3 linked regions of the Canis lupus familiaris genome follow. The protein of the gene in region 2 interacts with the protein of the main gene of each other region in a pairwise test. Links are inferred from orthologs where the notes say so. Each region holds a gene or a part of one and is shown on either strand. Other genes may lie near its edges.

What was found.
Region 1: the proteins of RAB6A (region 2) and PMM1 interact in binary tests that used the Homo sapiens proteins (3 or more experiments, as listed by UniProt). The two-hybrid records come from large-scale screens. The link is inferred for Canis lupus familiaris from reciprocal best matches to the Homo sapiens genes RAB6A and PMM1.
Region 3: the proteins of RAB6A (region 2) and BICD2 interact in binary tests that used the Homo sapiens proteins (3 or more experiments, as listed by UniProt). The link is inferred for Canis lupus familiaris from reciprocal best matches to the Homo sapiens genes RAB6A and BICD2.

What each region holds. Positions count from the first base shown.
Region 1 is NC_049231.1:24,660,539-24,664,181, forward strand, and holds the end of PMM1 (phosphomannomutase 1), read left to right. Parts: intron 1-1,282; coding exon 1,283-1,358; intron 1,359-2,115; coding exon 2,116-2,231; intron 2,232-2,607; coding exon 2,608-2,730; 3' UTR 2,731-3,158; downstream 3,159-3,643. UniProt on the Homo sapiens protein: Involved in the synthesis of the GDP-mannose and dolichol-phosphate-mannose required for a number of critical mannosyl transfer reactions. In addition, may be responsible for the degradation of glucose-1,6-bisphosphate in ischemic brain.
Region 2 is NC_049242.1:24,607,950-24,612,180, reverse strand, and holds the start of RAB6A (ras-related protein Rab-6A), read right to left. Parts: upstream 2,804-4,231; 5' UTR 2,320-2,803; coding exon 2,250-2,319; intron 1-2,249. UniProt on the Homo sapiens protein: The small GTPases Rab are key regulators of intracellular membrane trafficking, from the formation of transport vesicles to their fusion with membranes.
Region 3 is NC_049222.1:99,442,271-99,445,913, reverse strand, and holds part of BICD2 (protein bicaudal D homolog 2), read right to left. Parts: intron 1,503-3,643; coding exon 1,290-1,502; intron 1-1,289. UniProt on the Homo sapiens protein: Acts as an adapter protein linking the dynein motor complex to various cargos and converts dynein from a non-processive to a highly processive motor in the presence of dynactin.

The sequences.
Region 1 (3,643 bases), on a different chromosome or scaffold from region 2:
TCTAACCCTGGGCCCATAGAGTGGCCTCTGGTGGGGACTCTTAACCTCCCTGGGGACCCACCTGCCTGCTGGGACAGCAAGGGTACAGTAGGCAGGGGCTTCACATCCCACTTTTCTGCTTTTCTAGGAGAGGGAGGAAAAGAGGGTTCATTCATTACCTCTCCATCCTTTAGCCCAGGAAATAGGCTCAGAAAAGTCACACAACCAGGCCTGGAACCCATGGGGCCTGCCTTTCTCTCTCATATTGGGTCACATCAGGCGTTAAACTCATGTCCTTCCTGGCCCACATCAGGCCCCAAACCACTGGCCACTGCCTGCCTCTCTCCATTCCAGTCCTACCCAACTTGGACTGACTGAAATGCAGGGCTAGCACTCTACTCCCCTGCTTCAAAATCTCAGTGGTTCTCAGTTCCCCCAGGATGTGTCCAGACTCTCTCCCAGGCCATCTGTGAGTTGGCTGTCCTATCAGGCTCTCGCTGCTCCTTCGGCAAGGTGGGGACTGCCCCTGCACTGCGCGATCCTTCCACCCGTGTGGTGCTGGCCCCTGTTAGCATGGCAGCCAAGATGCTGCCCTGCTAGGCCCTGCATGGCTGTTTGCCCGTGGCCCCAACAGGGCCAGGCCAGGGGTCCTTGGCCTAATGAGCAAATGCCTCCTTAGTCCAGGTCTGCAGATCTGCTGCGGACTTACAAGGTCCTGACCCAGGAGTGGGGTACAGCAGGGGACTCCTCAGCACTGCTGAGTCCCCCAACCCCCTGCACATAGGAGGTGCCCAGTCCACGTCGCCGTGTGGCTGGTGCTGTGGCTATGCCTGGCATCCTGCTGACCTTCCAGCACCCACTGCTGTGCTGTAACAGGGCTTCACCTGCTCCTGGCTCCTCATGCTCCTCTCTCATGTCCGATTTGCTTGTTGAGCTGGGGAGAGCAGTTGGGACTGAGCCCTGCCCTGAGGTGGACCTTGGGACTTGGGCCTGCCCCATCCCCTCAAACTCCTCCTCATGCCTCCACTCCAAGGGCTCCTTTGGATACCCTGACCACACCCCCATTGGCAGGTTCCGGCCAAGTTCAGTCACAGACTTCTGGATTCAGGCCCTGGCTCTGCCACCAAGGCTGGATGACCTTGAATAAGGCACAGCCATTCACTGAGCCTCGGTTTCCTCATCTGTAAAGGGGGGGTCACGGTATCCACCTCGGAGACCCTGAGCTCCCACAGTTGTGTGCCCAGCACAGGGCCTGGCACACAGCAACCCTCTGAGCCTCAGTCTGTTCCCTCCCCACCTGCAGAAGGAGAAGATTCGCGAGAAGTTCGTGGAAGCCCTGAAAACAGAGTTTGCTGGCAAAGGGCTGAGGTTCTCTCGAGGTACATCCATCCATTCATCCTGGGAAGGGTATGAGAGCCTGACACAGAAGCCAGTCCACGGCCTCGCTCCCAGTGCCTTTAGAAAGCCTTCCTGCCACCCCCCCACCCGGTCTTACCCACCGAAACCCAGTCCACACCCTGCCACCCTCCTAATTGCTCAGGTCAGAAAACCAAAGCATCTCCCTCAGTGTTTCTCCTCACCCTTTCCCAAGTGCAGTCCACTAGCAAGTCCCAGGGCCTATATCCAGAATGCTTCTTGAATCTGACCACGGTTCACACCTCTGCCAAATTAGTTCTTGGACTCGGGCTAACTAACATAGCTGTCCTCCCACTGCCTAGTGTCCAGAGGGATACCCCTGCTCAGAGCCCTTCCTGGACCCCAGGGCCTGCATGGCCTAACCCTTTCCCTGTCCCAGCCTTCTCTAGTGCTGGGAAACTCCATGCCCTTCTCCACCATAGCAGGCAAGGACTAGGCCTGATTCCCCGCTATTGCCACTCTGGCTCAGCCCTTAGTACCACCTCCTGGAAAGGTCTCCCCAGCAGTGCTGGTCTGGCTTGTTGACTGCCTGTTCTCCCCACACCAGGATCACAACTCAGTGAGAATCCTGAGTCTCCCATGCCCTGTGGCTGGCTCTGAGCAGGCACTCAAGGGTGGTTGAATGAATGAATGAGTGAGTGAATGAATGAATGAAGCACCTTGCCCAAGTTCACCCCATCGGCCACCCCTCTGTTAGTCTTGTCTACCACCCCCCCACAGGAGGCATGATCAGCTTTGACGTCTTCCCCGAGGGCTGGGACAAGCGCTACTGTCTGGACAGCCTGGACCAGGACAGCTTCGACACCATTCACTTCTTTGGGAACGAGACCAGCCCTGTGAGTGTGGCGCATCCAGGTGCCTTCCACCCCAAATTGTGCCCGGGTCAAAGCTAGGACGCAGGGCAACAGAGCACATTCCCAGGAGACTCCCTGAGAACAGCCTGTGTTCGCCAACCCCATTACACAGATTGGAAGACTGGGGCCTAGCGCTGGCTGGTCACTTGTCCCATGCCACACAGAAAATCAGGGCAGGTCTGGTGAAGACTGAAAAGATGGGGTTCTGGGTGGTTCTGAGGGGTAGGGGGAGAGGCAGCTCTGCCGGAGCCAATATGGGGAAGGGCCCCATGCCAGGGTGTGTGATGGGCCTTAGCCCTGGGCAACTCCTCCAGGTACCACATATGTATGTGTCTTCTCTGCCCTTCATTGTGTGCAGGGTGGGAATGACTTTGAGATCTACGCTGACCCCCGGACCGTCGGCCACAGTGTGGTGTCCCCACAGGATACAGTACAGCGATGCCGTGAAATTTTTTTCCCAGAGACAGCCCATGAGGCGTGACCAGGGCCCATGCCTGCTCCTAGGGACTGCTTCTAGGGATTTCCTGAGAACTCCACCCAGGCCTAAAGAGAGCCCCTGACCCTGGTGTTGGGTGGGGTGCCAGGGCCCCTCTGGCTCAGGATGCCTGCCTCATTACCTACCGCAAGGCCCACCTTGATGGGGCCAGGGTCCGCGTGGATAACCGTCCCCAGCCGGTCAGCGCCCAGCGGGACCAGCTCCGCCCTCCAACCCGACAGCCCTGGCTACAGCTGCTGCTTGTACTTGTAAACAGAACAGATTTCTGTCTATGCCGGGAGTAGGCATGTGCTTGTGTTCGTACGAGATAGAGCCCACCCTGCTTATCTGTCCCAGGCAGGGTGCAGAGCACTGGGGAAGGTGTGTATTTGCCAGAACTTTATCTCACAAATATTAAAGTTCCTGGAACAAGGTATGGTGTCCGTTCTGTCTGAAAAATTGGCCCGTCTCAGGTCATGTTACAACCGCACTTAACAGATGAGGGAACCGAGGCAGAGATGGCAGGGACTCCCCTCACCCCTCTGCCGGGTCACACAGGATGTCGTTGATGTGCTTGAGGAGAGTGGGCCGTGAAAGCCCTAAATAAAGGTTGTGTGGGGTACCCTCCCCAAGCCATTCCCCTGGGACCCAGACAGACAGAGGCATCCCTGGGCCAGGCTGAGTCACAGTTGAGGGTTTATTGCCAGTGTTAGGAAGGATGGGGGGCGTCCAGGCGGCTGGGGGTCTTGGGAGGATTTCGGACTCGACACTGCGGGGCTGTGGGTATGCAGGAGCCTGCCGTCCCTCTGCCTCCTAGGCAGCCACATCTTATCTCCTGGCTAGTGCCTAAAAATGGGGGGGTCTGCTCACAGGAGGGAGTCTTGGGGGCTCCCAGGAGTTAACCTGCACCGATAAACCT
Region 2 (4,231 bases):
CGCGTCCAGCTCCCAGCATGGAGCCTGCTTCTCCCTCCTCTTGTGTCTCTGCCTCTCTCTCTCTCTATGTCTATCATAAATAAATAAATCTTTAAAAAAAATCTAAGATGACTTCAAGAACTATATGGGGGTTGTTGTCAAAACTCAAAGTAAGAAATGAGAAGCCACAGAACTCTGCAATACGAATTAGAATATAAATACTCAAGGAATTAACAAGAAACTTGCAGATACTGAAGTTATGATTGCTACTCATACTAATACCTTCCTAGGACAGAGATTAAGGATTTTTCATGCAAACTGAATAGCTCTGCATCACAACATAAGGCTAGCAATAACATCCCTAGGAAAAATAAGTAAATAAATAATTAACATCCCTAGAGTGTACAATAAGCACATTAGATCCTATTTATCAATAATGACCAATACACTGTATCTTAAGCATGGCATTGTCCTAAAACTGCCATAAAATTCCTAAACTAGGATCACTCTCAAAGATCTTACCAAGTTACTTCAAGAAACAAGCTTATACTTGCTCAGGAAAATTCACAAAGCAAAGAGGAGACTATATTTTTCCTCGGTAACCAGGGAGGGGGGTAAAGATTATATGTGAAAAGAGAAAAACGATTTCTCCAATTGGAAGCAATTTCTCAACTAATGTTAACCTACCTTAATGCCATATATATATATATGTATATATATGTGTGTGTATATATATATATTAGTATAAACAGTTCAAGGTGGTAGTAAAAGCTCTGAATTTATAACTGTTATCTGCTTTCCAATCAAAAGAAATTGTCCTCTCTACAGCCTAACCTAAGTAAGGTACCTAGCAGTTAACTCAATGTCTGATGACTTGGGAGGAACTAATCTCTCAATGTCTGAATTTTAAAGATGGTCATGAAAAATGTGAAAAAAAAACAAAAGAGGACAATAATTTCTACATTGTTGAGCGCCAAGTTTTATAATTCAGCATAAAATCAGAATCACCACGAGAAATAATTTGAGAGAAAGCCATCACAAAACTAGGAGCTTGTATTTAATACAAAGTAAGCAACAGCAGAAGCCTAGCTAGGTAAGATCATTCCACTTATCACATACTATGGAATATTAAGCATAAAAGGGTCGTTTAGCCGAAACGGTATTACATACTGAAGTCTAATTTAGATAACTAGATGATGAATCTATTCTACTCTACTCCATTACTCCCTGGCCCCAAAGGAAATCCTAGAAAACAAAGATGTTGGTTATTCTCAGGCCTTCTCTCACAGGAATCCTAAATATACAATTGGAAAACACTCAGAAGAAATTGAATAATTACTATTTCTCTGGTAATTCTTGTTTGCACCATCATAAAGAATCATACACTGCTTCATATTGAAAGGAGAAAAGGAGGAGGTGAGATGTGAGAAATTCCAAGTAAAATGATCATGACATAGCATCTGGCAGAGATCGCGAAAGCGCCAACAGTGCCAAAAGAATTGTCAGGGAATCAAAGTCATGAGAAGAAAATGAGGTTTTCTAACAAGCCACAGCCTAACCCAAGAAGCAAAAATTGCCCCTGCCGCCGCCACCCCTCTTACCCTCCAACCACTCCATCTTCAAGTCGCCTCCAATTCAGACATATATTCTCCATAACCCAAACTAATTCCCCACCTAAGTAAAAACAATCCAAGAATTTCTACGACACCCCCCGCCACTTCCCACCTCCCATAAGATCCGCACTTCCCAGGGCCAAGCCTCTAAGGAAAACAACGCCCTAATCCCCCCACCCTCCTCGTCCAAGGTTGAGGAGTGACGGTTCCCGGGAGTGGGGCCTCCCGGGGTGGGCCTTCACAGAGCTGACGATCTGGGATAAAAGCAAAGAATAAGGGTGGGGCTCCAAGAAGGGGGCTACGGTTGGTGAGACGACGGAGGCCGGAGGAAGAAAGGGATGGACAGCAGGCTGGGCTGGGCGGGGTGAGACTGGGGCGGGGGTGTGGGGGGGCAGGTCGACGGGAGAGGCCCGGGCTGCGGGGGGGGGAAGGAGATGTCGGAGCCGCGGACAGAGGATCAAAATCTGACCGACGGACCAAGACGAAGAGGAGCTGGTAGCTAAAGGGGGTCGGAAAACCCCGGGCAGGGCTGGGGGTAATGAGCACGAAACGCGAACGCGAGGCTGGTAGACAGCCTTCGCGGACAGAAGGGCCGCACTGGGGGCGGTGCGGGGAAGCCGCGGCCAGCTGCCAGGAGGGGGGGAGCCGCGCACTCACCGCTCTGCTCCCCCAGGAACACAAGCTTGAATTTCCTCAGCGGATTCCCGAAGTCTCCGCCCGCGGACATGATGGAGCCGGAGGAGCTGCCGCCGCCTCAGCCCAGAGACCTCTCGGACCGACGCTGCTCCCACCGGCTGACGAAAAAGGCGAGACGAAGGACCGACACCGAGCTCTCTCGGACCCTCTAGGGCCCGGCGGCGGAGCAAGGCTGCAGGACAGGGCTCCTCCCCACAGACAGGCAGAGGTCGCCGCCGCCTCCCCGCAGAGTCGCCTGGCACCGAGCGAGGCCCGCGGCTGGGGAAGGAAGGATGGCGGTATCGGAAGCAGCCAGGGGTGTGCTCGAGGTTCCCAAGGCTAGCGCCCTTCCCTTCTCAGCACCTGGCACCGAGACTGGGGTGGGAGAAGGGGAGGGTGGCAGAACTGGAGCCGCAGACGCGTCTGGGACCTCTCACGCGCAGCGCCTCAGCTCCCACAGCTGCCGCCGCCGCAGCCCAACCTGCTGAGTGCGCGAGCCTCTAGCGCGGCGCGCGGCGAGCCCGGGCGCGAGCGTGCCGCCCCGCCGGCCGCCGGCGTGCGTGCGTGCGTGCGCGTGCGTGCCACAAGCCAGCGCCTTCCTGGTTTAGCCTGCTCTCCCGGCTCCTACCGCGCGGCGGAGGCCAGGGCAGGTTAGGTTGCCACGCGAATCGGGAGAAGCAAGGAGGAGGCGGGGCGGAACCCTGGGGAAGTGACGGGGGTGGAATAAGGAGCACTTACGTCACTTATGTGAGAACCAATCGGAAGAAGTCAAGGGCGGGCAGGGCTGGCAGTGAGGTGGCGGCGCGAGAGCGCGCGCGGCCCTTGCTCGGTGGAAAGCGTCGCACAGCGACTGCCATGAGAAGTGTGGCGTGTCGCAGCCTAAGGGGAGGGGATGGGAAGGGCGGAGGCGGAGCTGGCACGTAGGTTGAATTGACCTCGGCCCTGTGAGGGTGTGGTCCGAGAGCCCTAAGGTGTGTACTCTGTTCCTCTTCTCCAGAGCCCTCAGCCCTGCCTCGCTCTCCTTAAATCCGCCCTTCACTCGTGCGCTCAGCCACCTTCTCCATCTTTTTTCTTATTATAATTCCTCACACGATATCTTACTAGGTACATTCTCCACTGTTGCTCTTAGGAGTTTCATAACTACCAGAAGCAGATCCTCTACATTTTTGCAGATGAGGAAATTGAAGCTCAGGGGAAGGAAATGACTTACAAAATCCACAAAGCCATCAAGTGGAACCTAGGTTTTGCCTTTTCCGCCAGTGAACCTCTGCAACCCTTCTTTTTGATAAGCCCATCCACTTCCCTGACCTGACCTGGCTTGGTCTGTTATCAGCCTTTGTTACTCTGATGTAGACAATTCTAGGTGACGCCCGCCTTCCACTGTGCTAGAAAAGGATTTAGACATCGAGGAAACCAAACCCTTCGTTTCACAGATGGTGAAACTGAGGTCCAAGTAGGAAAACAGCTATGCAAAAAGGTCGCAGAACAAAGTAAAGGTAAAGCCAGACTTTGAGCTCTATTGTGGGGGAGGGGATATTTTAAAGATCACTTTTTCCTCCTAAAGCCGGGCTTCTGAATCTGTTGTGGGTGGACCTCCCCTAAATTAGACCTCTGAAGCATGAGCGTTTTTCTCTGGAGAGGATCCATGGCTTTCATCAGATTTTCAAACCAGTTTAAAACCCCAAAAATGAAGGTGAATGTCAAAACCAAGAGGAACCTAAGGAGACATGACAACTAAGTGTAATGTAGATATAACATGGCAAACAACTCAGTGTAGCTTTTTAAGCTGAATGGGATCCTGGAAGGGAAAACGGACTTCAGGCAAAAACTAAACAACAACAACAACAACAAAAACCCTGAATGAATATGGACTTTGTTAATTATATCAATATTGGTTCCTTAATTGTAACAAATGTATTATGCTAATGTTAATAATAGAGGTAACTGGGGAAGGAGGGGTTATA
Region 3 (3,643 bases), on a different chromosome or scaffold from region 2:
CCCCACAGGGTCACCGAAAGGACAAGTTCTGGAGCAGCTGGAACCATCCCATGTGCTGAGCACACCTCACACAAATTGCACTACAGAGGCCACGAGGTCCTCCCGGAAAGCCGGCATTAAGCTGTTGGGGTTTGGTCAGAGGGCATGGTACAGCTGGCATAGCATGAAATGGGCATGGCAGCTGGACCGGGCACTGGGAACTACAGCTACCCTCAAAGAGGGGATGCCCCAGGGGGTGACCCCGCACAGCTTGCACGTCACACCAAGGCAGGTGGAGAGTGGCCTCCTGGGGGCAGTGCATGTCATTACATGCATGTAGTCCTGGCTCCTCCACCAGGCCTGGCCGTGGGTGCCAGCCTCATGGGGAGAGGGGACGGCCACTTCAGAGGCCAGGAGGGAGCCTGGCACAGCAGCTCAGGGCAGCCACATGCCCAGGACCAGCATAAGAGCGATAGGAACAGGGTGCGGATGGGGCTGGGCCTGTGGGGCGGGAGGCAGGGCCCTGAGAGAAAAAGGTGGCTGAGCGTGCATGGGGTGGGGAGTGGCCGGCTTCCTCCTGAAGCACCAACAGGAATGACAGGAATCCCAGCCCCACAAACCTGCTTCCTACAGGACCAGTTGAGCTCATGTCCTGACACCCAAAGCCAGGAGTCAGCAGCTTACCGGGGCTCTCCCCATGGCTCAGACATGAGGAGCCAAACAGCCCTGGCCAGGTGAGGCCACCTGGTGGGGCGAGGCTGCAACCACCTTGGTGAGGTCACCCTGCATTCCCAGAGGCCCTCCCCTCACCCCCACCGTGGTAATCCCGGTAATCCCACGGGAAGAAATGAACTCACGAACTCTGGCTCCACACATCTGAGGCCTGCCCACCCCCTGGATCCAAGCCCAGTTCTTCCCAGGCCTGCAGACCTGCATGAACTGTGACCCCAAGCCAGGGTAGGTGACCGTTCTCCACTGCTGCCAGCCCCTGGGCTGCGTCTCACACCACAGGAGCCCCCTGCCAGCCTCGGGTGGCCCTGATGTCGAAGCGTGGACCTCAGAACCACCCGTCCATCTGGTCGGCTGTCCCTGCCCCCAAAGTACACAGGGCAGAGAGCAGGTCCCCGTGGCCCAGAACGAGGCCCCTCGCTCTTGCTGATGAGAAGCCAGGGGCCTTAGGCCACGGCCAGAACAGCCCCCACAGACTCCAGGCCACACCCACTGCCCCGAGCTCGCTCACCCCCCTTGAGGATGGCCACATGCGGAAGGCACGACACACCTGCCCTGCCCTCCCCTGGGCTCGCCGGTACCTCCTTCAGCTCCTGCGCCACGGATGCCAGGCGCTCATTCTCCGACTGTGTGTTGGTGAGCACGTTCCGCAGCTGCTTCAGCTCCGTCTGCAGCTCCAGCACCTTTCGCACGTAGTACTGTTCCTTGGAGGCCGACTCCTGGATCAGACTCTCCTCCCGGCTCTCACCATCCGCGGCCACCTTCTTGTGGTTCGTGTGCGCCTGTCCAAACGCCTGCGCAGAGACCAGATTCTCGTAAGACAGAGGCCGCCGCCTGCAAGCCCTGAGGAGGACACCCCGGTGGGGACACTAGGGTTGGGGGGGATACAGGGGGTGGGCCATGGACGAGGGAGTGCAGGACACCTGAGGGCTACACAGGGCAGCAGGGCTAGTGGTCAGGTGGGAACAGAGCCAGGGAGGAGTGAGGTGGGGCTGATGGCCAAGTGGGGCCAGGCAAGGAATGACCCAGACGATGAGGTGGCCCTGGGACCCCCAGCAGCACGGACCCTTTCGGGAGTCAGGCTGCTGACCCAGGAGTGGGGCAGAGAAGTCCTGTCCTAGGACCAGGGCAGATCTGAGGCCCACATAGCACCCCTCTGCCCCACTTCAGATGGAGAAACAGGCCAGGGCGGCCTGGGAGGGTGTGAGCCCAGGTGTGGGCCAAGAGAGGAGATGGGAAGGTGAACCAGTCGACAGACCAGCGTGTGTGCCCCAGCGGGAGACCCCGCCCACCTGCCCAGTGTCTGGAGGAGAGCTGAGAGGACGCCCTAACCCCACCAGGCCCAGAGGGGAGAAGATGCCCCCATCCCCACCCCATCCCCATCCCCACCCCCACCCCAGGCCAAGGGAGGGCTCCCAGGGAGGAGGCGGGTACACCTGGCATGGTGTAGCCGACCAGTCTCAGCCTAGGCCCAAGACCAGTCACCAGGACAACCCCCATGGGCCTCCCCCCTCACTGGCTACCCCATGCAGACTCCTTACAGCCTCCCTGCTCACTGGGAGGGCTCTTGAAGAAGGAAGAGTTGATGTCTTTATTTCTTGAAAGAAACGGGCATTTTCACTTATTTCACTATCTGAGATGAAACCTAGGAATTCTGTCCAAGAAAACTGGGAAAACAGGCATAAGGGGAAGGCTGTTACTGCACAGGACCACCTTCTGACATAAAGAACCAAACCGTAGAAAGCTGGTGGGGCCTGGCTAAAGGAAGCACAGTCTGGTTGGGGTCAGCATTCTGTGAAAACGCCCATTTCTTTTCAAACCAAGTCAGCTCTGCTCTGAGACTCCGGGTGCTGTCCTCTTCTGTCTCAGTAGATAAAAAGTCTACACAGGACTTGCCCAGCCTGGGCAGTGGCCCTGACCCCTAGCTGCACAGCAGCCTGGGGTAAGCAAAACCTACCTAACTTCTGGAAGCAGAGCAAGGACCTGACCCACAGGGCAGGTGTGCTGGAGAGCCCCGGCCAGCTGAGGGCTTCCCCCTGAGCCTGCAGACAAGCCCAACCAGGTGGCCAGGGCCAATTACACGCACAGCCTCAAATTGGAGTGTGGACATCCCACTGGGTGTGGAGTCAACCATTAGAGGCTGTCCCAAGGCCAGACAGCTCAACGCGGTGATGCATGCAAGCGTGTGCACATGCACGTCCAGGCCTGCCAGCCATCCAGGCCTGCCAGCCACGGCCCAGAGACTGGTACCTCCTGCTGAGCTAAGAGGACAGTCACAGGGACTGGGAGTGGCTCCTCATGCAAAAGTGATCATTAACTGGGAACTTTGTGTCAATTTTCAAGTCATAGGACAACCAAGTAGTGAGGCACAGGGCACAAGCAAGCTCCAGGACAGCCCTCATCTGCCTCAAAGGGCCCGTGGCCATGGTGCTGGAGGAGATGGTGGGGAGCAGGCCAGGAGGCCTTCAGGGAGGAGGCAGTGCTGCAAGACGGTGGACAAGGCAGCAAAGGCAGCAGACCTGCGGACAGAGGGGACAGTCAGTGCGAACCTGTGAGGGCACCACCCAGGTGGACCACATGGAGTCACCAGCGGCGGGGGCAAGGAGGTGGAGCAGGTTGTGACCTACACAGCTGTAGGCTTCAGACCACATCCCCGAACAACGCACAGGAATAACAACAGCACCATCTCGCACTCAGGGAAACCAGCAGGCCACAGCAGTGAGCATGGCTCAGACTGGCGCCATGGTAGCTGGGGGCTCAGGATGCAGGCCGAAGCCGGCACACACGGGGCGGCGACCCTGAGGCCATGGAAGGTATGCAAGATGGAATCACAGAGTGATGCGAGGGGAGCACTCACTGCAGGGATTAGCAGCCGTCCACGATGCAGAATAGACTGGCAGGCTGAAGACACAACTGTGGGTTACCCAGGGTAGGC